4 linked regions of the Drosophila melanogaster genome follow. Changing the gene in region 4 together with the main gene of any one other region gives a genetic interaction. Each region holds a gene or a part of one and is shown on either strand. Other genes may lie near its edges. The genes, in order: eyg, Csk, Delta and upd1.

Region 1 (9,606 bases), on a different chromosome or scaffold from region 4:
TTTTATTGATAAATACTGATTAAATTAGAATGGCAGATTCATTCTAATAAGTTCAAATAAAAATGATTTTTTAAGTTATAGGTATATCGTATTAATCATATTTCTATTTAATGAAATTTTTATCTGTGTACTTCGAGTCCGTCGGTGGAGCCTTGGTAAAGTTCATCGATTTCCGCCAACCCAAGACAATAAAAACTGCTCATACCCAACAGCGGGCAACAAAGATTTGGCAACAAAGTTGCAGGACAATCTGCAGGATCCTCGTGGCCCATCAAGTGGCCAACTGATCAGCTCGTCGAGGTTGCTGGATATACGAGCTTGAGATGCTGCATCGTAAAAATGTTTGACTGCGCGATTATATGGCGCTCATGAGAGCGCCACTTTGCCCTGGTCCATCAAACCAAGGCATCCTCCAGCGAATCCCTTGGAGCCGAAAATCACGTTGATGGAATCCCCAGGCCGTCAAATCAAAGTTAAGTACACTAAACGAAATCACTGAATGAGCGCGAACCCAAAAGGCAAATAAAAGCCGAATATACATATATTGTATGTATATATGTATATATATAGCACAGACGTGGCGCAGACTGTATAAATATCGTATAATGTATAATTTATGGGCCCGAGGTGAAAATATTTTCAATAGAAGGTGATTTAAATTTATTAAAGGAATGCTCACGAGCAGAGCTCCGCACTAAATTAGAATAAGTCGATTGGTGGTATGGCGATGGAGATGGGGCTGGGCCATTTGCTCATAAAAGCCCAAGCAAATTGAATTTGTGGACACCCGATGACCATTCCCGAGCCCAAAATTCTCAAATCCCCCAATACCCCCTAGTCCACAACTTCCAATCCCGATCCCGATTCCGTTCGGAGCTGTAAGTATCGACACGAATGGTGCTCCACGCTCTTTCGCTTATCAGATGCGAGGAGCTCATTTAAATCTCGGCCAGGCCAGAAATAAAGACGCGCATCCACCCGGTTAACCAACCTACAAAAGTCAACGATCCAAACCGATCCCATTCCAACCGATCGGATCGGATCCAATCCAAGCCTGCAAGCTCGCCTTTTGTTAACACCATAATTTACATTGATTTATGTGCTTAGTTGGTTCGGCATTTTTAATCGGTCCCCATACGATACCATATGATACCAAACCATACCATCCATTCTCATCTCCTCGTCGCGTTTAGTCTGTCCCCACTGTGTTTGTGCGCGCGGCTTCATTTGGTTATAATTAAAATGTCGATGTTATCAGCCAGATTTGGACATATTGGCCATTACGTTCGAAATTTAAGCGTTTTCTATGCGCGTATTTTGGATTTGGATTTTTTTTTTTTTTTTTTTTTTTTTTGATTTCGATTTCGTTTGGCTTTTTGTTCTGTCTTCGTTCGGTGTATTAATATTTAATAACGTTTTAAGAAGCTTTCGAGTGTTGTTAAATGCTTATTTATGCTTTTCGGCCGTGTTTGGTGTGTTTGTTTGTTGCCCAGTGTGTTTGAATGGATAATTATGCGTGAAATCGAACGTATAAATTGTATTTGTTGTCAAACCAAAGCGAGTCTATACAAACCGATTTCCTGGTCATATATTTCTGTTTGTTTATTGCCGAAAGAAAGTAAACGATTCTTCATTATTTCTTGCACTTTTTATTGGTTTCTCACTCAGCGGTTGACCATTTTAGTTTTTTTCTTTTATTTGAGCCAAAAACACTTAGTCTACGCACTAAATATCAGTTCAAACGCAACCAACTCAAGAATCAAATCCTTAAACAATACGCATTCATAAATAGATTTGGCTTAGGACTATTTTAAAGTTTAAAGTTACATATAGTTAGATATTGCATATGCTATAGCCTTAAATGGTGATGAGGTAAGTCGGCAGCCGGCGAATGAACAAGTATTATAGTATAATTATGCATAACTATAGGGTATACAATGGGCATGTGCATTTCAAGTGGGACAAGCGTGTTCGTATCGGGTATTAGTTACAATTTCAGCTAATCTTAAGCCGCCCATTATGTTGTTGCTGCTGCTTTCTGCTACATTTTTCTGTTTACTTTTTTCTATTTTTATTTAGTTTTTTTTTTCTTTTTTCTAGCGACCCCGAACCGCAGCCAAGTAGGTGAGCAGCATTTTAACTTTGGTTTTTCGATTTGTTTGCCCACTGTGTGTGTAGTCGCTTCTCGTATTTCAGTCCACCAGTTGCAATTTCAAATGCAATTGCAATTGCATCAGTAGTTGCTGTTGCTTTTGCTGCTTTTGTTTTTGTTGCCACTGTCAATCACAGAGGCGCGCACAACTCAGGTTTTCAATTAGACTTTGCCGCCGCCCATCTAGACCAGGTGGCCCTTGTCGCCCATGTCGCCCATCTAGCGGTCATGCTTTAGGAATTGCAACGTGGCCGGCGCATCGGAGGATGACAGGCGAGCCACCTTTGCCGCCGTTGCCGCCGACGACTCAATTTCACCATCGGAATCGTCGTGCACGTTGATCTCCTCATCCGAGTCCGATGACGAGTTGTCCACCGTCATGGTTGAGCCGCCAGATTGAGTGGTGTTGGTATTGGGTCCCGTGCCCTCACCACCGCTCCCCAAACCACCTGCGGAGTAGTGCAATCTGGAGCGCTGCTCCTCGGCGACCGTTAATGATGCAGCCACGGCATATTGCCTGGCCAATCCCAGGAAGGCAGCCGCCGAGGGCGAGCTCACCAGACTCCTGAAGGCACTACGCTCCCCGCCCATGGAGAGGTGATTCGCCGCCGGATTGCATCCACTGGGTGAGAGTTGCTGTTGTTGTTGATGATGTTGCTGCTGCTGCTGCTGATGCTGCTGCTGTTGTTGCTGTTGCTGCTGCTGGTGGTAGTGGCTGAGCAGCTGGAGGGCAGCTGGATGCGTGGGTAGGTGCAGAGGATGATGGTGATGGTGGCCGCCCGGAGGACCATGCAGTGGGTGTAACAGCACCGAAGGTGGCGGACCCTGTGGCGAGTGGTCACCGCACAGGGGCAACGGCTGCTGAGGTGGCGGCACGGGAGCCACTGGAGCGGAGGTGGAGGCACTGCTGTGGTTACTGGGCGTGGGCGAACTGGCCGGTGCATCGTTCGACTGCTGCGAGTGCAGCGGATTGGCGGGACTGGAGCGCTGACGCTTCAGGAGATTCATGCGTTGGTGGCGACGCCATTTAGCCCGGCGATTGGAGAACCACACCTGGAAAGGGTAGAAATAAATGATATTTAATAAAGATTAGTTATTTGAGGTTTTGGTTAATTGGCTTTGAAAGAGGTAACTCTAATTTCTGATATAAAAGTATTGATTTACTCATTAATTTAAATCAAATGGTATGTAACTACTTTACTAGCCACTTTTAATCTTGCTTTTTGAAAGTTTTGAGTGAAGCCTTTGTTTTCACCTGACTCACCTGAACTCTTGCCTCGCTCAAGCTGGTGCGACTGGACAACCGCTCCCTGGTGCTCACACAAGGATAATGACTCTTGTCGAACTCCTTCTCCAGCTCCTCCAACTGCTCCGGACTGAAGGTGGTCCGATTCCGCCTGAACTTGGGCTCATCATCGTCATCCAGATAATCGGAGTCTATGTGCCGGTTCTCATCCGCTGATTCCAAGGTATCATGGCTGCCAGAGCCAGGGGAGATGGCCCGATTGGTTGGTGTGCCACCTGCTCCGCCGGCCATCAAGTGCGCCGAACTGAGGGAGCCACAAGTGGAGACGGGCACAGCGCTCGCTGCACTCGGAGGCAGATTGGCGAGCGTGGGAGCGGCAACGGACCACAGGGCGGATGGAGGTGGCGGTGGTGGTACCCCCTGGCCGCCGGGCACATTGCCGGCCGGATGCCAGGTGAAGCTACCGTACGGATGAGGGGGTGGCGGGTACAGGCCATAGGCGGCGGTGCGAGCAAACTCGGTGGCCACCCGCTCGGCGGCTCGATTGCGCAGGATGCGATTGATGCTGCTCACCGATGGAGCGGTGGCATTAGTGCAGACACCTGCAAGGCGGGATTACGCAATTACCGAGCAGTCGAAGATCGAGATCAAAAGCTAAAAGCGACCGCCGATCAATCAGCGTTCAATCTGCGTCCGCGGATTAGCTGCAATTATGTGGAACACTCACCCTCCGAAATCAGGCGTTCTCGTATCTCCCAGGCGAAGATCGTTGGATTCTCGCGCTTGTACTGTTCGATCTTGGAGACGACCGTCGGCGTGGCCACCTTGGGCTTTGAGCCACCAATTAAGCCCGGTGGTCGCAGCGAGCCTGCAAGAATCAGAGCACAATTCCAGTTAAATTATGAGACAATGGATTTATGACTTTGCCAGCCTGGTTTTGGCAATCCATCTGTTTTTGGCTGGCAGCAAGGATTAACCCTGGTTGCTAATATCTTTATCTGCTCGTTTCATCAACATGTGATGTATGGAAAATATGAATGGGAAAACAATACAAGCCTTGGCAAATACACTGGTAGAAACCAGAGCAGCTCAAGAATTGGAAAACTTAAAAATGAGTGATTTTAACTACTTAAAGTTACTGTAATGACGGGTTTAAAAGACTTAAAAAATTCTAAACATGGAATAAATGTGATCACATATCCTTATTTGGAATTAAGCATTTTTTTCTTTCAGTGCACGGCAGCACGCACCAACCAACACTACCACCAAGGAATACCCGCTCGTGAATAAGCCGCATTTTGATTAATGAGCCAGCCGCGTTTTGGCCACCGCCAGTCAGGAGTTTATGCAATTTTAAGTGGCCAAATTACACGGCTGCGCACACGAGGGATACGCCACGCAGGGGATGGTAGGGGCAACTCGCAGGATAATAACATGTTTATCATAAAAATTAGCAAACAAATCGAAAACAAAGTACCCATTAGTTATCTGATGAGGGAAGGAACTGAGAAACTGAGCGGTCGTCCCTTTCAAGGGCTCACAACTCACCTAGCAACTTGGAGACAGCTCCCTGCTGGGTTAGCATGTGCTGGGCAATGTCATAGCCACGCAGTCCACCGAAACGTGAGAATTCCAGGAGGCGATGCTGTGACATCAGGGTGTTCAATGTGCTCCCCGTGGGTCCACCTGCACCGTGCGGAATGCCGCCAGTGGAGCCGCCGCCGCCAAAGCCGGGTGGTATTTGCACAGATGTGGGTGATGTGGATGTGGCCCCTCCGCCACCGGCTACCGCTCCCGATCCCGCTCCGGCCGCCGCTGCTGCCGCTGCCGCTGCTGCTGCTGCTGCTGCTGCCACGGATGCCGCCGCTACTGCAATTGAATGATAATTGGGTATTGTTATTTTATTGTGGCTTTAGCTGTCGCGGCCACAATGGTTAATTATGATAAATTAAGCGTTAATTGTGTTGACCGAACCGAAATGACTGATGGGTCCTACGAATATATTAGCGTTTCTATTACCCCAGCAAATGTCTAAGCTGATCGAATGGCCAAAATGGTGGCGACACGCAATCGAATCTTCCAGGCACGAGCAGATTTATCAAGCTAATTGATACGACAATGATCTCTTAGTACAAAAGGCGAAAATTAAAATATGTACTCAGCTGGATACGAAAAGAAAGCAAAAAACAAGTAGAAAAACAACTGTGTATTACGTTAATTCGACAGAATATTATATTTGCCTTCGCTTAAAAAACCTACATATATCATTCGGCTTGGGCAACTCGTCGCTCAAATTGTCAATTAGCGTTTTAAATGCGCGTTTCACTTTTGTTGTTTGTCAAGTAAATATTTTTAAAAAAATACGCGCACCTCCAGTCGTGCCTAACTGAATATACATATATGTAAGTATATGGGCCCATAATCAATTGTGCCGCCCATCAAATGAGAACCAGTTTTGTTTATTTCGGTCTATTTAAAGGTGAAAAGCAAGGAAATGGGACTGTCAAATGAGCCACGCAATTGGTAATGTGACATGCGTAACGATTTGTGTTTGTTTTAACTGAAGATTTAAGTTGGAATAACATAAAACATTTGTTATGAACATACTAAGTACGAACATGACAAATTTTAATCGCTTTCTTATAAATGGCCCACATTGTTTAAACTAGAAATATTATAAAGGATCACACTTATTTTATCTTCTGTTTAAGAAAATAAAAAGGCACTCAAAGTTAGTTTTACATAGACCTTTGTATGATCAATTTGATAATTTACATAATTTATCTACCATATACCATTTAAATAAAAAATTGTTTGTTTTACAGCGAAAAGTTAACACCAACTATATTCAAACTAAATGGATCTGGTTAAGAATTACACATAAACACATTTGACCCAGTTTGATACTTTATTTAATACTTTAACCGAAACACCGTTTTAACACACTAATTTAAACGATGCTTAGTTATTAGTTATACATAATTTCAATAATAGATTTTAGGTTTTATCGCGAAAGAACTAATTTGTTTAAATTAAAATTCGAACATTCCGGATTTGCTATCGAATGACATATTACACCTTTGACCCAGTTTCGGATTTATTTTTTGAAGATTTGTGTATATTTTCTTAAAATCCCCAAGCCTGGCTTTGCCGTCGGCAAGACTTCACATGGGCACTTTGGGGCACTTACCACTGGAAGCGTGAGGGGCCAGCGATGTGATGCGTTGGGGATGGGGCTCCATTTTCCAGTGCGCGGCCGAGAGGCCAGAATTAGCGACAGTAAGCGAGCCAAGGTCACGGTTTAAAGTCGGCTCAATCAACATGTCTAAGAATCGCTCTTTCCAATTCTCTTTATTATTTATTGTTATTTTATATTTGTTTATTTTATTAATTTTATTTGGGTATAACACAATCACAGTCACAAGTGTCGCACATCCAAGGCAGAGGTATCGATTATAGCGAATGCAACCGGAAACGGAAATGGAAACGCAATGCGGTCAATTGGATTCATAGCGTGCTGCTCACTCACACACTCGCATACACACGCACACAGATACACACACAGTGACAAATGCACGACAGTCGATCCCGACAGAAACAGTTAGAAAACGCTCCTGCGTATCTCTTGCTCTTATTTTTATTATAGAATTTGTTTTTATCGAATTTCTTGCGAACACTGCGCTCCGTTGAAACGTTGTTCACGCGAAAGCTGCTCTCAGCACAATGAGCGCTTGAATTTCACCTGGTCACCCGGGTCACTCCGCTCCACTCGAACAGTTTCACTCCGCTTTTGAGTGCTTTTCGAAACGCCAACCGGTTTACGAGTACCGTACTTTCATAATGGCGCCCGTTGAGGCAAACTCTTGCTCTCTCGCTCTTCTGCGCGAGAGCGGGACAACCACATGCACACTATGCGCGCACACAAATCAAACAATTATAAACTCGTTGTTGGTAAAGTGCTGAGTATAAACAGTGGCAAGAAGAAGAAGAAGAAGCAGACGAATGAAGAGCAGTGAGTGTGAGAGAGAGCGAACGCTTTGGGGAAGTGACAAGAAGAAGAACCAGAATAAGAAGAGAAAGAGGAGTTGGGGAACCCTTTAATTTTAACTACAAATGTAGTTGGGATACCATAGCACGTTTGAAGTCAACCTTTAGGTGCATTTCTCGCCTAATGTAATATTCTAATTGATTGAATTAACCGTACAGCTTAAATTGTACCATTTAGGAACATTTAGTTCGTAATCTTTACTGTTGAGTAATGCATTCAATTTATCGTTACTTTAAGCCAGAGACCATGGCCCCAATAAGTAGGCACTTTCAAATACCAACTCTTGATTATCATATCGATCTGTGTACAAATGAGCTACATTTACAAAAGTTCATGCATATGTATAATCTCTAACAATTAAGGCTAAAGACTGAAAAGAAGTTTGGCTTTTTGCTTACACTTCTAAAATAAATAATAATAATAAAATATTTTATTTCGAAATTATTAAAATAGCTGTAATATTGTATCAATAAAATGGCAGTATGGTATGTTTGTTTTACTTTTTATTTGATTCTACTCAGGAGAAAGACAAAAAAATATATATAAATAATTGGTAAATAATACCTCAGCAAAATATAAACATTAGCATTATAATAAAACAGAAAAGCATTAAATTGCTTCCTTTTTGTGGACTTCATAACTACTATTCCGCTTTTAAACTGACCAATTGCAATTAAAACTCGATTTTTAAACATAAACTTATTAAAAGAAGATTTAAGCCTGAAAGTCCTTTTTAAACAAACTAAATCGTTTATTGCATTGAAAGATAACATAAAATGATCGCTAAATAACAATAACTAAAATGCCTGCAATTTAAAAGAGCTTAGTAGCATATAGCCATTTGAAAGGAATTTTAATCCGGTCAAATGTGCAGTGAAGTGGCCAAATTGCATCCATTGCGATCCAGAGTGAACCTTGGACACGTATAAATCGCATGCGTGGCATGGGCCGTTTGCCATTCAGGTTTGCACTGCCCGTTTTGGGTCGTTGTCTCCCGGCCTTTGGTGCGTGATGGATGATTGATGTGCTGCCTGGGCAAGGCAATCCGATGTGAATCGAAACTGCAACTAAACTACACATGGCGTGATCGGGGAGCCACACAGATCACAGCTCGCAGCTCGCAACTCTCAGAACAGAACGGGGCAGAAACGGGCTACACCAAGTGGCAGAGTGGCCTGCACAGAAGCCAAATTGCATCAAAGCCCACGGATTGAGTGGCTCCCGGCGATGCAGGATTCGAATTGGAAGCTGAAAGATGAAAGCTGAAAGCTGAGAGTCGAGTTAAAAAGCAATTACCTGAAATGATTCCCCAATGGAATGAGATGGGATGAGATCAGTTGGGATGGGATGGGATCGGGTGGAAAGAGGAGCGAGTGCAGAAATCTGGATGCGAAACGATATGGTTCAGCAGAATCACCTGGCGATAATGAGATGTCTCACTAAGCTGATCAGAACTGCCTTTGTATTTATTTGTCTGTTCGAATGCAAAGTGCACAATGCACCGAACACTCGTGCATATATGTTTCTTCGATTTGTGAAAGGCGAATCATGAATGAAACGCTGCTGACGATGACGTTCGAGTGCCCTCATGCCAGAGATCCAGAGCAAACGCAAACAATCGAACAGGAATAATTTACTAAGTAAATAATATCTGGATACCGATCGCTGCACGGTAAGAAATTGCGTAAACCGGTGACCCATATTGCTCAGCAACCAAAGAAACCTTTCAGCACTGAGATATTTTTCATTCCATTGTTTTCTGGGATAATTTAAAGTAACAGAATTATCTTCTTACAACATTTTTTTGTCTTAACTTGACAGTAAGAGTTCTTAATTAAAGTCTGAAATTTTTAAAAATATTTTTTACGATTTTTTTTTACTAGTTTACTCAAGATCTATAGCAATATTTAAAGAGTTGAATCAATGGTCTCTATGGAATAGTGTTATATATGGTATATACATATTTCGTAACCATTTGATCCCAATTTTGGCCAGTGTAATCCCCGCGAGTAGCGTGCGCCCTCGCCCCATCAAGTGGCACTTCAACAATCAAGCATTCACACAAGCAGATGGTCCGCAGCCGTTGGCGACCACCTAAATGAAATTTCATTTAGTTTTTTTTCGCCCGTCATCGCCGCCGCAATCGCAACCCGCTCCTCG
Region 2 (6,222 bases), on a different chromosome or scaffold from region 4:
CTCTCTCTCTCTCTCCGGGGTTCTATGTATCCCGTTTGTTTGTGTATTGCAACATGCGTGGGCGTTATACTCCAACTGTATCGGTGTGAGTGAGCAAGTTTGGCTGTGTGAGGTCAGTGTTGCGTGAACTTTTCGCATTGGAATGATGATGTACTAACTTTTGGCGCCCACTGTTCAATATTCCCTTTATTGCGCCTATTACGACTATCTATCTCTGCCCATTTTCACTTGCGCTAATTACGCCGTTGCATGACCACTGTACTCGGGACTGATTGGAATGCTAATTGGAATTTGCAATTTTATTTATTCCGATTGGTCATACGCCATTACTTCTAGGGCTGGGCAGGTGATAGAGATAGAGATATATATTCAGTTCAAATTATATATTAGTCATATTTAGCGATGTCTAAAATAATTACGTGAATGCCTTTCTATATGCATTCCATTGTGGCTGTCTAATATACATATAATTTTGACTTATTGAACAACTGCCAAAACATCTGATCCAATTTAAACCGTACGAAAAAATACATTTCCCTGAAGAAAGCCTAAATCCATGCACCGTTCAACAATTTGTTTACGTTGACTTTATCGTATTAAAAAAAGGCTATCGACCATTTAATCTTATCATCAAACAGCTGGAATATGCATTTACGTTTATCTGGGAACGCGGTGCAGAAATGTGTACTTTATGTTTATCTGGAACCGTTGATATATGTAGATACATTCATATGTTTCGCATTCTTGAAATTATTACTTTCCTCGTTTTGTTGCCCAGCGGACACATTTTCTTCGCATATTAAAGGTTATTTTTTCCTTGCCATCTGTTTGTTTGTTTATGTTGCTTTTGCGGGTATTTTTAGCACAAATCCCTCGCCTTTTGATCTACTTGCCATTCGGGTTCGCCAGGCAAATTCGCTGGGAGAGCTGGTGCATGAGCACGGTTCCGACTTGATGCTAATTGCTCCGCAAATATGCAAGAAATGTAAAAGAGAAAAATCGGAGAAAATCACGAACTGTGCAACTGCAACTGCAATTGGAACTGCAAGCGCTGGATGCGAAAGAAACAATAAACATTTTGATGTCTACATTTTTGCAAACAACTGATTCGAGAGCGGCAACAAATTGCCTGGAAACGGAGACGAAAAGTAAACATGCAAGAGAAAAACTATTTGCCATACAAGTCGTTGGGAAAAGGAGTGTGGCGGGGGGCACGGGGTTTGTGCGACCAATAATGGGGGAATTAATTAACATGGCCAGCGGCGGCAATTAGACCAAATAAACGAAACAGAAAGGAAATCGATCCGAGTCACAAGCCTCCAATGTTGCTGGATGTGTGTTTTTACAAAGCTGTGATCGTTTTGCCTCTTGAATCTCCGATATCACAAAGTGCACTGTGCGTAATGATTTTAATGAATTTAAGGTATAAATATGTTAGGCTTATGTAGAAAGTACAATTTGATATATATAATATAATAAATTATATATGTAAGTCTTACAATTTTTCTTTAGTTTTTACTTGGGATCGCTAATAATGCGATTAAATAAACTAAATTTCTTTTAATTAAGTTTTCCCGTGTAAATATAGGCGACCGCAGAGTGGGTTACTTTTAGCTAGGCCAAAAGCGAGACCGCAGCAGCTACTTGAATGGCCAAAATCGGCCTAATGAGTTGGGCAACACATGTTTCGATTTGACTTCCATAGCGCGACGCTGCGAAAAGGAGAACCGTCAGTCGGTGGCCAAATGTGCAACAGGTGGGCGATCGCATGCGAGCGACTGGTCTTATCGCATGCAATAAATGCACGATAAAGAGAAGAAGCCGGCTCACAAAAACACGAAGAAAATCTGAGACTGAGCTTCGCAAGCGGCGCTCTCTTTCTCTGAAACTGAAACTCGGAGGTTGATTTTGTGTTTTTTTTTCTTTCGTTTCATTTTGTGTTTTTGGTTTTATTTATCGTGACTCAGTCGCGGCGGCAACTTCGTGCATCGCTTTTCAGTTGAAAACTTGCAGGCAAGGCGCGCGGTCGCGTTTCGATTCAAAAATCGAATAGTAAATAGAGAGAATAGTAAAAGAAAAAATAAAAATAAAATCGCTTGCCACGCATGCGCAGCTCATCATCGCGTGTGTGCGAATTGGCCAATGAGTGAATCGATTGCAATTGGCTTTTTGCAATACATAATAACAATAAATTATGACGGTATGCAAAGTGGCCTTTTTTTGATAATCCGATCCGTTCAGCGAAAAGGCACAAAAGGCGAACTATCGTGATGTAATACCGCGCGAATGCGAATTGTTCATATCGCTATTGTAATAATTTAATAATTAATTATACAGGCGGGAGCTATTTTTCGGCTTCGCCTCAAGGAAGTGATTAATGCAAAACATTATCAAAGTGCGAAGAAAGTGAAACAAAAAGCGCTGAAAGATCAGCATGGCTTGAACATACGTATATACTCGAGATTTGGTGGCGCAATGACCTTTGTGTGTTTGTTGTTTGATTTTATTTGCCATGTTGGGGATGTTCGCTTAATTATGGGTTTTGGCCACATGTATCGGACATTAGTATGAATCTGTGTTTCGAGTGTGTCCATGATTAATTCAAAATTGCTCAAGGCATGCACGGTCAAAACTGAAGTTGATTTTAGGGCTTACTGGTCAAAGTCAGGCTTAGCTTTCAATTAATTATGTAGTTAGACTGCTACAATTAGTTTAAATCTGATTAGGATTTTCACAAGACCCCATATCGAATGCCGAATTAATTAATTTTAAATTAATAAAGGGCTGTTTTGGTTGCCCAATGATTTTTGCACAAGGTGGCCTTTAATTGATCTGATCACCTTTCTAAAATCATTCAAATTCAAGCTCTTCGCCAAACCATGTAATTTTTTCGTGTGCAACTAATGAAGACGATCGCGTCGCGGCTGCATATTTGATTGTTTGAAAGTCTCGAATGAAAGTGCCTTGGCAGCATGTTACTGTACTGTACACTTCCCTCCCCTCACCGATTACCACTTTTTTTTTTTTTTTTTTTTTTTTTTTTGTTTGCTTCGGGCCAACTTCAATCACAGAGTGCTAATTGTTTTCTCAGGTCTCCGTGGATTGAATTCCCCCAGTCGACAAGTTCCCATTACTGCAATTTCTTCGCTTATTCTGCCATTCTGCTCGCTCTCTAACTGCACTTTTTAATCCGATCCCAAATCGCAGATCGCAGATGCAACTGCGGCGGATCGAGCGCAGCTGATCTCGAAATTGCATGAATCACTCGGCCTAAAAGACCCTCTGCACAATCGATTTGCACGCTAATTTTGGATTTGGCGACGTGCAGACACTCGACTTTGACAAAATAAAAACTGGAAAAAAATAAAGACTGCAAATTCGAAAACATTGTAGGCTGGCGTGTCGGGGCATTTTCAATTTTCCAGCGCATTAGTCATCGCCGGTCTAATCGGCCAACAAAAAACTAAAGAAAAAAAAAAAAAACGAAGAAAAAAGCAAAACCGGAGCCTTAAACTGTAACTAGTTTTTTCCAACGCTCTCTGAGCTGAGAAACTAATCCGTCGTCCTGCATGAATCTCGCACTGAAATTTGTATCTCCAAGCTGGCTGGACCAAGTGAAAGTGGACAAAAAAAGAAATATATATGTAGAAATAGAGAAAAAAAGACTTCAAATACAACTGCAGCAGACGCGTGAAACAATTTCTCATATTTTTCTTGGCTCCCCGTACACTTCGGTTATGTGTTTTCCATCCACTTATTCAATTTGCCATTCACTGCACACAAGTGAAGACGAGCTTAACCCCCAAACTGGCCGAAGATGTGCCCCCAAACCCTCCAAAGCCCCCCAAAGACCACACTTAACACTCGAAAGCCAATGGCGCATTTCATTTCTCGGCTTTGGACTCTTTCGTTTTCTTGTAATGCGTGCCAGGCACGTTAAAGTAATTGTACAAATTAATTTATTAATTAAGCCACTGGCCGGAATGGTCAGAAACAATAGCGAATGCTAAATGCTCTTTGTCTCAAGTTAAATTGCCGATCATTTGTTTTTTTTGCTCCAAGTCAGAGCTGCCGTTTTGGTGAAAAGAGGAGGGTATTCATTCGAGAAACTTTCACTCTCCGCTTGCCAAAATTATGTATGCAACAGGTATTGCCGCAAGGTTTTAATAAAACCTATTCGAAACGCAGCTCCAAAATCCCCAACGCTCATTTCGAGGATATCCGGACCAGCAAACTTACGCATCTCGACCAGGTTCAAAAACCCGACCCATTGTCTTTAGCTCTTCTGTTTTATTTTGGCTTTTCTCCTCGCTTATTGCCCACTTTGTCTCAGTCTCAGTCAACGGTTTAGACTTTTTTGGCCTTTATTTTGATTCGACTTTGTGGCGTTGGCTTTTCATTTTGCATTTCGTCAGCGGCGACACAAACTCGTTGTGTCATACATAATTCTGTTATTGTTTTATTTAATTAGTTGCGTTGTCTTTCTTGTGCGGTGCGCTTCTTTGGGCGACCGAACGCTTTTCCCACTCCGAAAAATAGAAACACTCCATCGTGCGGAGAATTTCATTTGGCCGCCACCGTTCCTTTGTGGGTCATGATAAGCAATCACTTTCCACGTGCCCAATTCTGGCTCATTTGAATAGTTAATTGTAAGTTGACATTTACCTAGGAAAGTTCAAGAAAGTGAAGATGCAGTGAATGTTGGCAAATATTTGGGAATTCTATGATAAAGATTAAACTTAAAGCCAACTGATATCCTCTTCCCTTCTGCCCCTTTGTATATCCATAAGATGGGCAAATAATTGAATCCTGCTGCTTACAAACTAAATGGCAATATCAGTGCAGAAATATCTCTTTTCCCCGCCAACTTTCCCAACATTTGTCACCTGTCTTTAGGGGATAGACAATAGTTTTGCTTAGCTCACTGCGCAGTCGACGTCGACTGCGAGGTTCCCACGCCCAAATTATTTGCACAATATGTAGCCAGAGCTCTCCAGTGAATTCCAATTCAATTCAGGCGGCTGGTTCGTGTTTTCCCAACCCAGAGAAATAAGCCAACATGGAATGCCGAACCAGCATTTGGCCCAACCAGCATTTTTCGCTGTTTGTGGAGCACTCCAAGCCATTGTCGACTATTTCAGTGAGCCGCTGACAAACCGTTAATGTGGCGAATTGACTTGCTGAGGAAAAAGCTAGCCAAAAGCCAGTACAAAAAAAAACAAACATATAGATGGCAAAGAGTTGTTATTATTATTTAGTTATTCCTCGCAATGAAGTCAATTTCTGTACGTAGCTCGGTTTTTTTTTCATCATCTAGTTTTCAACCTTTTCCATCCAGGCCGGGCTTTTATTCCATTCCTCTTTGTTTTTTTTAGCTTGAATTTTCTCTTTAGAAATTTTCCATTTGCGCTTTTTTTTTGCTAACAATTATCTGCCCTGGTCTTTTCTATCGATTCCGCCCAGTTGTCCATTGTGGATGGAGAATCGACGTATCCACATGCTGGCCGATGGCAAATCGAAGCGCTTACAGAACCTTAATTAGTATTATTAGAAACGAAAACAATTTGCCCGGCTTTGTCCACTACGGACTGGGCATTAGCCTCGATTTCAGTTCTACAACAGGCTGAAATGGCGAATTTTTATGTTTGTACTATCTGCTACTGGGCACCCACAATGGCATCCATTAGAACCAACTCCCATTTTGATTTCACTATGTGTATATATTGATAATTAGATGGTAATTGGAAAGTATTGGAAAGAATTTTAACTAGAATTTGAAAAGGTCTTTTGTAGGGATCATACAATTAAAGTTCAACCAGAGGTTTTTGCGCCATCAAAATCAGAACTTAAGTTAGTGCACTAGAAACCATTTAAAAAGCGGACTGACAACGAAAGTAAACGCAATGCGGGAACATGGTGACAACAATTAAGATAACCTGCGATGGAGTGTTCATCCAGTCCAACTCGTACCTCATGCCCACGCCTTCTCCCAGCGGAGCAGACGCCACGGTATCGTCATCCTTGGAACGGGTGCTGAAACCCGCGTCCGCATCCGCCTCTCCATCCAATTCGAACAACGAAAGTGATAACTCGCAGACGAGCAGTGGCAGCCAGACGGCGTCCAGTGCCAGCAAGCGATCCAATCGATCCGTGGGCCGGAGTCATCGAGGTTCGATTGCGCAGGACACAAGGCGACGCTACTACTTTGGCAGCAAGGACATC
Region 3 (6,586 bases), on a different chromosome or scaffold from region 4:
GACGGGTTAAGGGACCCGCCGAGCGGCTAACAGGGGGGGGGGGGTTGCAGAAGGGTGCACGCAAAAAGGATGGATGATGTATGTTGCGCTTTCAATTTGGAGCAGCAGGACATCTGTTTTTCGGAGTTGGAGCTCCCAGCTCCACGCGGTTACCTGCCGACAGCCAACCGGTTTACAGGTGCTAACTTGGCTTTAAAAGTCGGGAGGGTGGCTAAAGGGGATCAAGGGGCTAAAGGGGCCTTAAGGGGCTTCGGGGGGTTAAACGGCGCGCTCCGGCGATCGAGAGGCTGCCGTTTGACTTTGCCCCACAGCCTGCAGGTTTTTCTTCTCACTGCTCCTTTTCATTTTTTTCACTTCGCCGTTGCCGTTGTTTGATCATAAATTTGTGTTTAATTTAAAAACTTTTCACTCTTCTCATGGCTTGAAAACTCCCGGTGCGAGTACTTTACTGTCAAATTTATTGCGCGAAATATATGTTTGTTTAAATATTGCCATTACAGTTGGACATCTTTATAGTGAATTGGCTTTGAAGATTAAAGTAATGTCTGCAAAATAAACTACACGAATTTAGAAATAAGAGAGTAAGCTGTAGTTTCTAAAAAGATAATACTTAAACATAGTAACACTTTAAATATTTACTTATTTTTAATAAAAGTCAATGATAAAATACATATAAATACATATTATAAAACTATTATTAAAATATGCCAAACTAAAATTATTATTTTAAAATTAATACTTGTTTCTTTTTTCAAATAATGAAGGAATTGCATATATTTTCTGATCACTTTTAAAGAAACTTCACTGTAAAAGGAATCGCGGCGGGAACTTTATAGTCGGACAGGAGAAATTCGGGGTCTTGGTCCGCATTTCCTTGTAAAATTGGGTGTTGACTTGATTGGTTTCGTTTTCTGGGGTCTCCTGTCTGGTCTCCTCCTGGTCTCATGCATATGCAAATGTCCCTCGTTCGATGCAAATTAATGAAGACCGATTTTTATTGTACAAATTTCAACAACTTTATTTCGCGTGAAGAGAGTTCTGGCCATGTTATTCTCAGCCCTTTGCCTTGCTGACCCATTTATCAGACCATTTCAATGAACTGCTGTTTTCGAGTGATTTACAATGTTTGATCAAAAAATCGAATCAAATTAATCTTGCTCTTTTCGTTAAGTAATTGGATCAATTTTTAACGAAAGTTTGGATCCAGAGACCACCGAAGAATCTAATGATTTGTTAGGAATAATAATAAAATAAATAGGTGTACAGACTTAGCATTTTTACCTTAAGATTTTTACAGAATAGAATGGAAGTACAAATTGGAAAATCAGGCCAGCTATTTAAAATTGTAAAGCCAAAATGAAATCGTAGTAGGCGAACACATCATATTCAATCTATTTTCATAAAAATATTTAGTTTAGCTCGATTCGGCATCGTCGGCAGTCCTATATCAACTAGAAAATATTTGGATTCAAAAAAAAAATTTTATTTTTATTTTTTTTAATATTCGTTGAAAATAAATGCAAGTATTAAAAATTATTACTATTACACAAAATGCTTAGAACAAAATTTATTGATTTTGAAATATTGTTTGGTTATATAGTTATTTATCGTTTATTTCAATAGAGATTCTAGTTCATTTGGTTATTGTGGAGCAAACATATGCAACGCAGTGAAGATGTTATCACAAGATGGTATTTCCGAGCCAATGGATCTTTGAGGCAGAGGCTTGTAAATATTTGTACATTCTGATCATATTTAATGAGATTCCAAACCTTTAGCTAGATGGTATCTTCAGCAATTTCCACCGAGCAGCTTGGACAATTAATATGTAGTTTATGGATCCTCTTTCAATGAATTTAGTATGCCCAAACTCGAAGGAGTTTCACCTCCATAAGAGCGACAGTCCTGGAGAAGTTATCAGAGCCAAAAAAATTCATATGATGATGCATTTTCCGTCTCTGAAAACGTCTTCAGCAGAAGTTGTTTTTAGCGAAGTGAAACTCATTCGATTTTGATCATACTAACGACATTGGATGCTTGGATCGGCAGTTTGGTGGAATATAAATACCAAGACCCTAAGACTGATGACGTACCTGCTAATGAAGATGATGGAGATATACTTGCATGCCAATTCAATAAGTTATAAGCACCCAATATAATAAAATTCAAATATTTATATTAAATACAAATATCCATCTTTAATTTTATTTTTGGTTCTCATCTTGGCAACAATAAATGTTGCTAAGCATTTTGCTTTCAACTTTCGCGTGAGCTGAATCGGTAAATTGAGCGAACCGGGAATCAAATGTTGCTAACGAAATGCTTACAAGCCGGTATCCAACTGGTATCTGAAACTGCTAGCAAAACGGGGAATCAAATGTTGCTAACGTAAACGAATTGAATTGATTTGTTTTATTTTAGATATAAAAATAAAAGTAGAATATCTAGAAATAAAAAATCCGAATTTTGAAGATTATTTAGAGACAATCTTGGAAATTTGTACAAATAAACACCCGTCCGGTTGAAGTTAAACAATATAATAAATTCTTATATCAAAATAAACTTGGTAATGTATATTGAAATTTTAAATAGTTTTTAAAATGTGTAAGTTGACTATTTATTCAAAACGGTTTGTTGCATTGCATCTGCTGAAATGCACTAATTTTGCCACGGAACTCGTTTTGAGAGCGAAAGAGAGAAATGAGAGAGCGAGTACGTTTCGTGGTATTTTTTAGTACGATTCGCGGCGGTGAAGGTGAATAGTGTTTTGGTCGTGGACATGAACGGCATTACGTTTTTCAACTCGGCCGCGCGAATAACTCGAAAAAGGCAGCTCCGCAGCCAAGGCATTTTGAAAAACACAAGTCCCCGACTCGAAACGCGACCAAATATTCGGTGTGTGACGCGAACTGCCAATGCAATAGTTCACTTAAGAATTGCAGATTACCGCGACTCTGGGCAGTTCTCATTCGATATTTGAATGTACCAAAAGAAAAGTGCCAGAACCAGAAATCAAAATAAAAGATCTTCTAACAGAATAACAAGAAGTGTTTCCTCCGAAAGATTAAAAAATCGCGAATGATTAAGAATCGCGGCACCGTTAGTTCCCTCTCTCGCTTTTCCCTTTTGCGCTTTTCTGCGTGAAAAGGAGAAGACTCCGCAGTTCGCGAAAAGAGCTTTTATTTCGCGACACTTAAAAATAAACACAGTCGAGGAAATTGCAACAAAAAATGTGGCGCGTGCACGTGTAGCTTGCAACAACGACAACAAGAAAACAACGAAAATGCTAAAAGCGAATTGCAAAACCATGTGCGACAAGTAACCAAAAAAAAAATTCAAAACATAAACACAATAAACAATTTGAGTAGTTGCCGCACACACACACACACACACACAGCCCGTGGATTATTACACTAAAAGCGACACTCAATCCAAAAAATCAGCAACAAAAACATCAATAAACATGCATTGGATTAAATGTTTATTAACAGCATTCATTTGCTTCACAGTCATCGTGCAGGTGAGTTTCAGTCCCAGGAAAAGCGCTCATTTTCCATCCAACAAGTTGTATTTTTTGGCAATTTATTTTCTTTATTTCTACGCGCACGCGTGCACTCACCGCTGAATTTTGCAGCTGGTGTGTTGTGCGCGCATGTGTGTGTGTGGGGCCAAAAGGGAAGAAACGATTGAAGGGTTGCCAGGTTACTAAATATTTTAAAACTTTTGGGGTTCCGTATGATCATCTCAAAATATCTATTTTGAAACCACTCCAACATCGCGTTTGCTTCCAAACTTATTTTTCAAGCTGGTAACCCGAGAACTTTTGGGTAGAAACAGCTGAGTTGATATTTTAAGCGGGTTGGCTTTTAGGGGTGGAAATTGTGGATCGGATCGTATCACCCTTTTCGGAACATGCATACATATTTCATAGAGCAAAACTAGTTTGGAAACATGCGAGGCCAATGCCCAAACAGGTCCATCCCCAAAAAATGGTTTAATTCTAGTACACAGCGGAAAAATATGAGGCATACGTTAGAAGAAATACCTTCAAGATAATTTTTGACATGCAGATCAGTTCAACTTCTTAGAAATCCTACTATGTGTACTAATTGTTCTCCGTGTAAAAACAGAGATGATCCAAGTCTGCCTCAACGTCAAAATTTACCACCAACGGCGTATGCATCCAGAGCAGCAGCAAAAAATGATAAAACTGCTCGATTTCAATATGAGGCTATATAGTAATGCTGTGCTACAAGCCCATGCTAAAAAGTTGATGATGCTGGGCAACATCTGCCGTTTTCGCCGTCATCTCCTCCTCTGTCCCTCCGCTTTGCATGCGCTTTTTACATGCGATTTTTTTCGGTTTACTTTTCGCTCTGCGTAGGTCAACGCGACACATGCTCAGCCTCACTTGCTCTCCCCTCCTTGCGTTGTTTCTCTTCTGTCATGCTTTCATTGATCTTTAACGCCAGCATCCCCTGGTTACACGGATAAAAAAAAGAGTTGTGCAGGGTTTCCAAACAGTGCGATCTCTAGAAAATAACACTAAATATTTTGTTGTTAATGTGTGGGTTAGTTTCAAAGATAAGAAAATATTAAATTATAATAAATCTTGACCATACATAGTATGTGTACATAGTATACATTTCATAGTTCAGAACTATTTAGCTACGAAGAAATTACAACTTAGATCCACAATATTAAGCTGATAGGGAGCTCTTTATTGATAATAGTACCCATTTACTCACCGTGCACCCTGCATGTGCTCCAATCCTCTACCGCTCTCCGCACTTCTTGATTTTCTCCCAACTTTGGCACGTTGCGTGCTTAAACTTCACTCTTCGACCAGCTTCTTTTTGCAGTCTGCTATTTAGTCGCTAATTTTAACAACGTCCCAAAAAAGTGTCTCGACGCCAACCTCCTGGGGTCTTGGGACTGCTGAAAATGCTCCCCGTATGTAGGCAGAAACATCTGCCCAATAATTCTGACTCATTTCCTTACTTACTTACAGGGAAAGGTGGAATAGTTTAATTTGTCATTTAAAATAATATCTCGGGCAATTAGCTTGCCATTAGCAATGCAATTTAATTCAATTTTCTGCCCATTCTATAAGGTATTATTCTCACAATTTCTTGGCCCTTTCTTGTCCCATGCTGCGTTTAAATTTCAATTTAACTATCAAATAACCGTAGTCGCCTTGTTTTCGCATTTATGCAATTTTCATATTAACATTGAGCGTCGAAGAAGTGAGTGAGTGAGCGAGTGAGTGAATGAATGAATGAATGAATGAAGACTGGGACTCGTGGGGGAGCACTCGTAGTCTTCTCGGCTCTGCTCTTTCTTCGCATAACATAATTAATTGCAATTTAGAAGCCAAAGAGGAAGACGACGACTACTCCCACACAATGCGATGGATGATTCACTTGCGCTTGTAACTGTTTCCCAAGCCCGTTGTTAACGGTTGATTATGATGATGAATTTAAATGATTAATAAACAACATGCAGGGTAGGGGCACCAAAGCAAACACCTGTAGGAAAGTCGAGGAAAAGTCGGGGAAAATTATAATAAAAATGCGTGCTTTCATACATTTTTATGTCCCCTTGTGTTGTTTTAACTTCTTCCCTGCTTTTTTTTCTACAACAACTGTCTGTCAGTCAAGGCAAGTTGACGTGGAAATGGCAAAAAATGAAAAGAAACGAAGAACTAACTAACTAGTCGCTTCAAGCCTCAGTGATCGCAGTAAAAATAGGAGTAGTGGCCAGTAAAGAGAAAGAAAACGAGAAACGGAGACAAAGAATGGCTCAAGCAAAAGGTAAACAATGCAACGCACTATTTTCTAACACTTTAACAAGTGTCTGTCTTCCATTTGAGAGGTTGGCAGCTCCAGCTTTCAAGTTCCACCTGGCGAAACCCCCTCGTAGATCCCCCCCACAAGTTTTACCTTTCGGTTATTCAGCCGCTGTGGAGTTCATAGTTGAAGGCAAAGGCAAACAAAAAGCGGAAGGAGAACCATTACCAGTGTACATATGCCAAAGTTATGAGGCGGATTGTGCAAGGTGTAACTGAGCATTCAACATTTTGGAATTACGATAAAAACAGTCGGAAAAGTTAGATCAAAGAGAAATATATTATATATTTTACGTTATTAGAACGAAAGTTATGTTTTTTAAATGCTAATTCATCATATTATCTACTACTTGTCCCTTTAAGAGCTTGCTAATACTAACCGCATACTTGGAGGGACTTTAAAACAGTGTGAGAAACTATAACCAAAATTGGTGTCAAATGGTGGACAAAACTATTGTGGTTTTAACGATTGCACTTTTTGTTTTGTTTTGCTTGTGCTTCCCACCATCTTTAGAGTGTGTGTGAATGTTTGTTTGGTGTTATGCAAATTGATTTGCTTGTTGTTTTGTCTTGCTTTTTTTGTGTTGTATATGTTGTGTCAACTTCTGCGCCTTTGTTTGTGTGTGCGCTTTTCGTTTGTCCCATTTTGTTGTTTATAGTCTAGTTTAGTTTGGCTTTCCACTGGACACGCCCCCCTGCCCGCCGCCTCCCACCTTTCTAACCTTCCTTCCACTCAAT
Region 4 (7,820 bases):
GCTCCGGGTGCGAATTGCCCTTTTTGTGCCTTGCCGCCCGTTTCCCAAAGGAGAGGTCGCACAAAAGGTGTGCGCTGCCACCTTGATATATGTGATATATGCGAGCGAGTCCCTCTCTGTGGGTTGTGGGTCCTGCGAGATTCGAGTCCTGTGCGTCCGTCCTGCCTTGCGGCGAAATAAAGGCGAGTGGCCCCGCTGCGCAACACAACTGCTTCCTGCAGCAGTTGCTGCACGCTGCACTTACGGTTAGACGCAAGGACACACCGTCCGCTGTCCGTTTCGGCCCGCTATCTGACCATCTACAGCTGTTTTCGGCTGCCCAAAACAATGCGGCCATAATGCAGCAAAACTCTCAATTTAATTAGACCGTCAATTGTGCAAGCCCTCGAAAGTAGGGAGAAATATGGGCATATTTGACATAGGGATGTCCTAGGTAGATGGGCGTCCGGGGGTTCGCCAGTTGGGAGTACCTGGCCCACTGGCCAGAGATTTCACACTCTTCTTCTAGTTACCCACCCAAAGCGGAATTGCGACAATATCAAGCCGAACTCATCGAGATGGTCAAATATCAGCGCTGCGATTATCAAAATAAATAATTTGAGGTGAGTTATAAATGTATCAAAAAATGATGAAACAACTTAATGTTTTACGATTTTTATGTAAATCTTTATTAATTAATTACCCATACGAACAGATTTAGGCATATATATGTATATTATTAACTTCATTTAAACAACTTGAATCATGTCAAATGAATTTGAATGGTATATACATATATAATAGATTGTGAGTGCCAAAATCACTACTTCAGTTATATTGATTGTGGTTCGAACACGTATAAATAATATTACTATAAAAATGTATATATTATGTATTATTATATATATTACTACTGGTATTGAGAAGAATTGTAACTGCACAATTGGTTGATTCCTTAGTGCTTTATCCTATTTTACGCTTTATTCCTTATAATTACTAAATTAATTTTAATATACAAAATATATAGCAATTTACTAGTTGTTAGAAAAAGTTGAAGAAAATGTAATATTGGTTAACGTTCCTCGTGGATAGTTCTCGAATGGATAGTTTACCTGGATTAGCGAGCTGAATAGCGGTGTTATGTTGGTCATTTCCGTTGATCACTTTCTAGACCGATTTGAATGTCAGGACTTTTTGGGAGGGGTGAGCAGGCCGCTCAAGGTCACCCAGAGAGTTTGAGAGAGGGAGAGAGAGAGAGGACCTAGCTGACCGGGCTTAGAAGAGTGAGACAGAGCCAGGTAGGCCTGGTCTTTTGGGGCACCAGGTAGGCTGCCTCTCTTCTTTTCCCGCTCTTTGAGTGAGTGACGCGGATTGGGCAAGTGGGAAAATTCCAGTTGCAATGGCGACCGGCCCAAGATCGCCCTGGTCCGCAGGAGCGAGCGGGATGGCGCGCGAGGACAGCCGGTTGGCAGGCTCAAAGACGGCACCAATACACACTTCGGCCAGGTAGGCGCATACGCACACACGTGCAGGTGACCTGGGAATAGGATACCCCGAATACGATCGGTGAGAGCGGGCGCGGGAGCGGGACAGCCTGCGGTTCTTCGGATCTGAATCTGATCGGTCCGAATCGGCGGTCTTCTTCTGGCTCGGACCATGGCGTACCGCTCGTCGGCACTCGGCGGGCAGCGACGCCGGCAGAGGCCGCTCAGCTCGCCTCAGTTCCCATTTCAGTTTCGGTTTCGGCCTTTTGGCGCTGCTCATCGGTCGGTCGGTTGGTCGGTGGTCGGTCGGTATCGCTCTGGTATTCTGGTATCTGGTATCCGCAGCCTCTCAGCGAAGAAAGCTGGTCAAATCCAGCGCGACTTTGGGCTCAGTTCGGTTTCACACTCGAACGCGAGCAGAAGTGTCCGCGAATCAGTCTCCAAAGCATCGAAATCACCAAATCAGAACACAAACTGAAGCACGGATTTGAACTCGATCTGTGGTCAAGTGGTCTCACAAATATTATATATAAATACATTTTTTTGCGAGTGTTGTGCTGCAAGTGTGTCCATTGAAAACCGCCGGAAAATCAACGAACAACGAATCTCGAACGATCATCGAACATTTGGATTAACGTACAGACTTTTGGGAGCTCAGGCGCAGCACAAACCACGGGGATCCCGCGAGGATCCTGAACGATTCCATTTTTCATCTATAATGCGGTGTGTGTATTATTTTTAATTTGATCAAGACTTAAGAGCAGGCACAATTGGAGAGTGGAGAAGCGATCGAAAAGGATATTTTGGTCAATATCAATTCTCCACTCTTCAAGTGACTTATCAACAAGAAACGACCAACGATCTACTGTTAAGCAAAAAGGACATTCTGTGACAGCAACTGCAATTTTGGGAATTAGGATTAAATTATATAGTTTAATTAATTCGCTCTGCATTAAAATGCAAATCCATTCAGGATATTGTTACTTGTGCGAATCCTTTCCGTTCGTTTTTAGCAGCAAACGATCTTCAGTCTCGAATTTTAATCCTGTCAGATAAAGTAGCTAACTTGAATGGAGAATTTGAAATGTTCAAATTTTAGAATTAGCCCCAAATCCAAAATTCAACCTCAAAAGTTTCCATACACTTTCACACACTGGAAGTTAAAGCCAAGCCAAGCCAGAAGGCAGAGATTTGTCGCCTGGAGAAGATTAGATCCTCGAAACTTGGATCGATACGTCTTCGTTATTCGCTCAGGCTACTCTCGAGTTAATTGTCTAAATTAAAAAGTTTCCCCGCCCTCAATATACACACATATCGCTCTGGAAAAGACAAAAAAAAAAAAACAACGAAAAGCAAAAAAAACCGCAAAACAAACATAGAGAAAATGTTAAAAAAATCGAACCAAATTGTTGAGACTGTTGTCTGGTTGCAGTTGCATTCGCATTGAAGGAGGCTCGGCCGATCATCCGACCCGTAATCCCGATCACCTCAGAGCTCCAGCATCGAAGCACCCGACCACCCAATCCCACCCAGTAACCCATCCACTCCCAAGGGAGTCCAGTTAGTTAACCATCTAGTCAGGGAGGAACAGTGATAGCAGTTGATCGTTGGTCGTCGCGCGTTGTAGCAGAAAATTGAATTTACTTTTGCATTCTCGATACTCATAGTGTTTTTTCTCCACATCTCTTCCCTTCTGACCCCCCATCCCCACCCTTCACATATATCCTATATATATATATTGTAACCCCGTTCGCTGTATCTGCACACTGATTTCGATACGGACCGCGGACAGTAGTTGGTTGGCAGTGCGCTGCGACCACAGCTAAAAACAGCACCACGGCAGCCGGCAACGGAAACGGAAACATCAGCGGAAGCGGTAGCGGTAGCGGTAACGGATTCCGGCGCAGAAGAGAAAGTGGCTACCATGCGGCGATGGCTCGTCCGCTGCTCCTGCTCCTGCCCATCCTACTCGTCCTGCTCCTTGCCGCCCAGTTGCCCCACCTCGCCGAGGGGCGCAGCACCACCAGCAGCGGCGGTCTAACGGTTATCGATAGCGAGCGCCTGCGCATTCGCACCACCTCCAGTACGGCTTCAGCTCAGCATCCCAATCAGGGCACGATCCCTGCCAGCGCCGCTAGTCCGCGCAAGCGCCACAGAAAGCGGAACAGCAACTGGATCGACTATCGCAACTTCGACGAGAACACCACCGCCCTGGAGTGGGCCAATCCCTGCGGTGGCAACTATCATCCCTCGGCGGGTGATCGCTTCAATCGCCAGCGTCCCAGGCAGGTGAGTTCAAACGGCAGCGCTCTTTGGACCCGATCCATATGTAATCCGCTCCCCATTTTATCTGCTTCTCCACAGAGCTTCAATCAGCTGAAGCGCCACGCCTTTCGGGAGTACCGCAGCCTAAACAGTAGCCAGGACTCGGCCATAGATATCCGCAACATGACCATGTGGTCCCTCCACACGCACAACTACAAGTTCCTGCCCAAGCTCAAGCCCAATTCCACGGTAAGCAATCCTACAGTCATACTTTTTATCTATTAACTTAGTTGTCAAAACTAGTTACTAAATCCATCTCGTTATCAACTTTGTATCTATGTATCTTGAAAATAGCTCAATTATCTCGTTATCAACTTTGTATCTATGTATCTTGAAAATAGCTCACAATTGTCTCCATCTTTTTGATTTCTTCCACAGATTGCCCTAAAGCGCTGGTACCGCAACATGCAAACTTACGTGGCCAGCTTTGCGTATCTGAGGCGCCAGCAGATCCGCTGGGATCAGCGGTCCATCACCCGCGAGTCCAGCACCGCCCGCGAGCTGCGCGAGCTGCTCCTGAGCTCGCGGCGCATCCTCTGCGAGCTGGAGACAGCCGTCAACCAGACGCAGAGTCCGCGCCAGAAGCAGCGGCGCAGTGGTGCGGCGGTCACAGCAGTTGGCGGCACCACCATGCTGGGTCAGCAGCTGCCACAGATCTCGCGTCTCGAGATGAACAAGCGTTTGAAGCTGCGCTCCAAGACGAGTGGGCCCGGTATGGGTGGTGCTGCTTCCAGTGCATCCATGGCGGCGGGCGAGGCGGACTCGATCGATATGCGCTTTGTGAAGCACCACTACTACGACTTTTTGCGCACCATGTACCAGCTGCTGCGGCGGGATGGCAAGCGGGTAAGGAGTCGGCCACGGAAGCACCACAAGAAGCAGCAGAGGAGCCAGAAAAAGTTGCTACAGCAGCAGCAGCAGCTGGCGGATCAACTGGAGCAGCGTTGGCGCAGCTCCACCTTGAATGGCAAGGAGTTCAACGAGGTATCCAAGCCAGTGGCCGGTGGTGCTGCTGGAGTTGCAGATGTTGCAGGTGTTTCCGGTGGTGGAAGCAACCAATTTGCACGTGGCAGACGTGGAAAGCGCCAGTCGAAGCGCGTGCAGCGCACGTGAAATAGCATACACAACATTCCCATATCTTTCCATTTCCCCTTACCTCAGGACTCGCCCCTTTCCTCTGTTCTACAAACCCCTAGCCTCAAATCCTTAATTTAACCGTTAATTGATCGATAGTAGCTTAAGTAAATTATTTGATTGACAGCACATAGTCTCTGTTCTCGAATTCATTGCAAGTATTACCACATTCCGTATTTATTGACATTCGTCGAGAGTGAGAGAGAGGGAGAGAGAGAGAAATAGAGAGAGAGATATAGTTATATAGCATACGAAACCACAATCTGCAGTTGCCGTTCTAGTCACATAAGAGCAACCGCCAACCACCACCCACTGGAAAGTATTATTCGCCACGCCCGCTTTGTAGCCCATTCCGCACCCGCATCGAGTACTATGTGACCCCCAGTAGGCTAAGCTAACCCATGGCATTCATGATCATAATTCCATATCCATATCCTTTAGGCTAAACTTTGATCCTAAGGCACACACACACACATTTTTTTTTTTTCGTAGGCTAGCTTGTGTTTCGACATCTGTGATATAGTGCTTGACTAGTTCGTATTTAACCTAATTGTACATATATATTATATATAGATCGCATTGGGGTGGCATGTGGCCGCATCCATGCCTTCGTAGTCCTAAGCTCGCCCTTAGAAATCGATTTTCGTATTTATAGAACCGACCGACATATGACTAAGCCAGCAGCGGAATAAAGCGAACAATAAACTGAATTGAATTTGAAAATAAATCTGGATTGCATTTCATTTTTGGGAATAAATGGTATACATATATCCATTTGGATATACTTAAATTTATGATGGAAAAGAACTTCGTACTTCCCATTTTGAGGTTCAACGTTTTTATCTTATATTTCAAAATTGAAATACCCGAATATCGAATTCAATTCTATATATTTTTATATCTTTTACCATCAAAAACCTATCAACCAACCTATCTTATGTGGCCAACACTTTCGCGTACATTGAATCCCTATACCTGGGGGAGTCAATTACTCCAATTCCCTTGACCCACTTTCTGCGGATTCGCTTTCTGCTGCGCCTTGGATGCGTCTTTATGGCTCCTCCATGGGTCATGGGTTTTATGATCTCCAGCGGCGTCAAACTATTAGCACGTCAGGCTCCCAGTTCCCCTCGATACCGAAACCGATCCCGATCCCGATTCCGATTCCGATCCCCACCTGCTTGTCTACCTGTGCCCAGAAACCCAGAGGAAATGAATGGACTGTGATCAATGGAACCACTCAATGAAAGTTCGCGCCAAGTGCATCAGAACTACATATACTCGTAAAGCTGATCACCATCATCATCGGTGGCATTAGCTCTTGCGGGAATGCTAAGGTGCCGGGATCAGGGGGCAGATGAGCTGACGCTTATCCCCGGGGTTAACTAAAACACGGCTACACTTGTCCTGGTCACCGATTTGCATTGCAGTCTGGAATCGAGAAATCCCCGCTTTGTTTTAAGCGGATTTAGGCAAATTTACTTTTTAATGCCTTGGCTTATTGCCAAGCTCCGTTTAGGGCGCTTAGTGGCAACTTATGGCCAAGTCCACTCGGATTATTAGCGCTCAGCGAACGGAAGCAGACTGCCGTCTACCTTGCGAGTCCTTAAGTGTCCTGGCCAAACAGAGGGAGAAAGGGCAGAGGGAAGGGCAAAACGGAGATGTTGACATGCAAATGGATTAGCACGAGACGCTGAGCAAAAACATTTCTGCATGCATTATAATGCCGCCTAAGCCGTTTATTGATTGCAATCGATCGAAGGAAGTCCAGACTTTAAGCCGCTCCAGGGTTATGGTTTTTATGTTCGGTTTTGGTTTTGGTTTTGGGTACGGGTTCGGATTCGGATTCGGGTCTCTTGACCATAGTCCAGTGTCAAGTGTCCCCTTTTTGGCCTGAGCCCTTTTGGGTAAGTAGGTGTTGTTATGTTTTTAGCTGTCATAAATATTGTAAAACTCGGTAAATATTTAAACAGCGTGCACAATAAAGGCAAATGCCAAGAGGCTCGACGTCGACGGGCATACCAGTATTTCGGTATTTCAGTTTTCAGTTTTCGGATTTCGGATTCCGTTCGGGGCATTGTTTTTGGCCTGGTCATAACGGCCCGGCCGCACCGCCCGACTCTACCTACTACCTGCTCCTTCCTCCTTCCTCCCGGTGAAATTTGAATATGTGCCTGGCCGTGGACGCAGGGGTGCGGTGGACAGAAAAAAAAAAGAAAGAAAAAGATTAACAACATTTAATAACCCATCATTGCGCCGTCCCGCTCCCACGCATTGTGTCGACAATTTTGCAAGATAACTGCATTTGTGCAGTCCTTTGTGCCGGGCCACTTTTTGCCATTGTCCTGCCATTTTGCGCTCCTCTTTTTCCTTTCTTCGCCAACTCACAAATTCCCAATCTCTTTTTGTGTTTTTTATTGTCCTGCGGCACCTTCCAGGAATCCCATACCGTGCAGCGGCCTTCGCCTCGCCAAACTGCGTCCTATACCGCACGAACAGGATGTATCTGTATCTATTTGGTCCCATGTCCTGTTTGCCACTCAATTTGTGCACCCAAAGGCACAATCGCACGGCAGACAAGTGGCAACTCAATTAGGCCATCAACGCAATTATATTGCAATTTATTGGTACGATCAATCCAGTCAACGCGATATGAATATCCCAACATTTCCAGATGATGGATCGATCGGTCACCATGGAATGCGATTCTCGAACTATTGCTGGATTTTAGAAACCTATGCTCCATGTAATATCTATGTGAAGAAAAGGAATGTTTTTTTTTTTGTTAATAAATAAATACACTTATTATTACAATGACATAATAGTATTCCCATATATATACTGAGTTTTCATACAAATACCCTTTGCTTGTAAACAATAAATCGATTAAGCACAGTT

The links.
Region 1: of upd1 (region 4) and eyg, changing one suppresses a phenotype caused by changing the other (phenotypic suppression), as found in Drosophila melanogaster (one study listed by BioGRID).
Region 2: of upd1 (region 4) and Csk, changing one enhances a phenotype caused by changing the other (phenotypic enhancement), as found in Drosophila melanogaster (one study listed by BioGRID).
Region 3: of upd1 (region 4) and Delta, changing one suppresses a phenotype caused by changing the other (phenotypic suppression), as found in Drosophila melanogaster (2 studies listed by BioGRID).

Annotation. Positions count from the first base shown.
Region 1 is NT_037436.4:12,460,898-12,470,503, forward strand, and holds eyg (eyegone), read right to left. Parts: upstream 7,125-9,606; 5' UTR 6,722-7,124; coding exon 6,589-6,721; intron 5,268-6,588; coding exon 4,947-5,267; intron 4,267-4,946; coding exon 4,126-4,266; intron 4,001-4,125; coding exon 3,417-4,000; intron 3,206-3,416; coding exon 2,372-3,205; 3' UTR 1,640-2,371; downstream 1-1,639. Other genes in the region: CG32102 (uncharacterized protein), read right to left, coding at 8,260-8,526.
Region 2 is NT_033777.3:11,642,766-11,648,987, reverse strand, and holds the start of Csk (C-terminal Src kinase), read left to right. Parts: upstream 1-2,011; 5' UTR 2,012-2,142; coding exon of another isoform or gene 2,143-2,200; 5' UTR 2,201-2,272; intron 2,273-5,782; 5' UTR 5,783-5,913; coding exon 5,914-6,222.
Region 3 is NT_033777.3:19,322,416-19,329,001, reverse strand, and holds the start of Delta (delta), read left to right. Parts: upstream 1-2,784; 5' UTR 2,785-3,463; coding exon 3,464-3,520; intron 3,521-6,586. UniProt on the Drosophila melanogaster protein: Acts as a ligand for Notch (N) receptor. Essential for proper differentiation of ectoderm. Delta is required for the correct separation of neural and epidermal cell lineages.
Region 4 is NC_004354.4:18,303,175-18,310,994, reverse strand, and holds upd1 (unpaired 1), read left to right. Parts: upstream 1-1,703; 5' UTR 1,704-2,186; intron 2,187-2,735; exon of another isoform or gene 2,736-3,258; 5' UTR 3,259-3,395; coding exon 3,396-3,752; intron 3,753-3,827; coding exon 3,828-3,977; intron 3,978-4,166; coding exon 4,167-4,901; 3' UTR 4,902-5,641; downstream 5,642-7,820.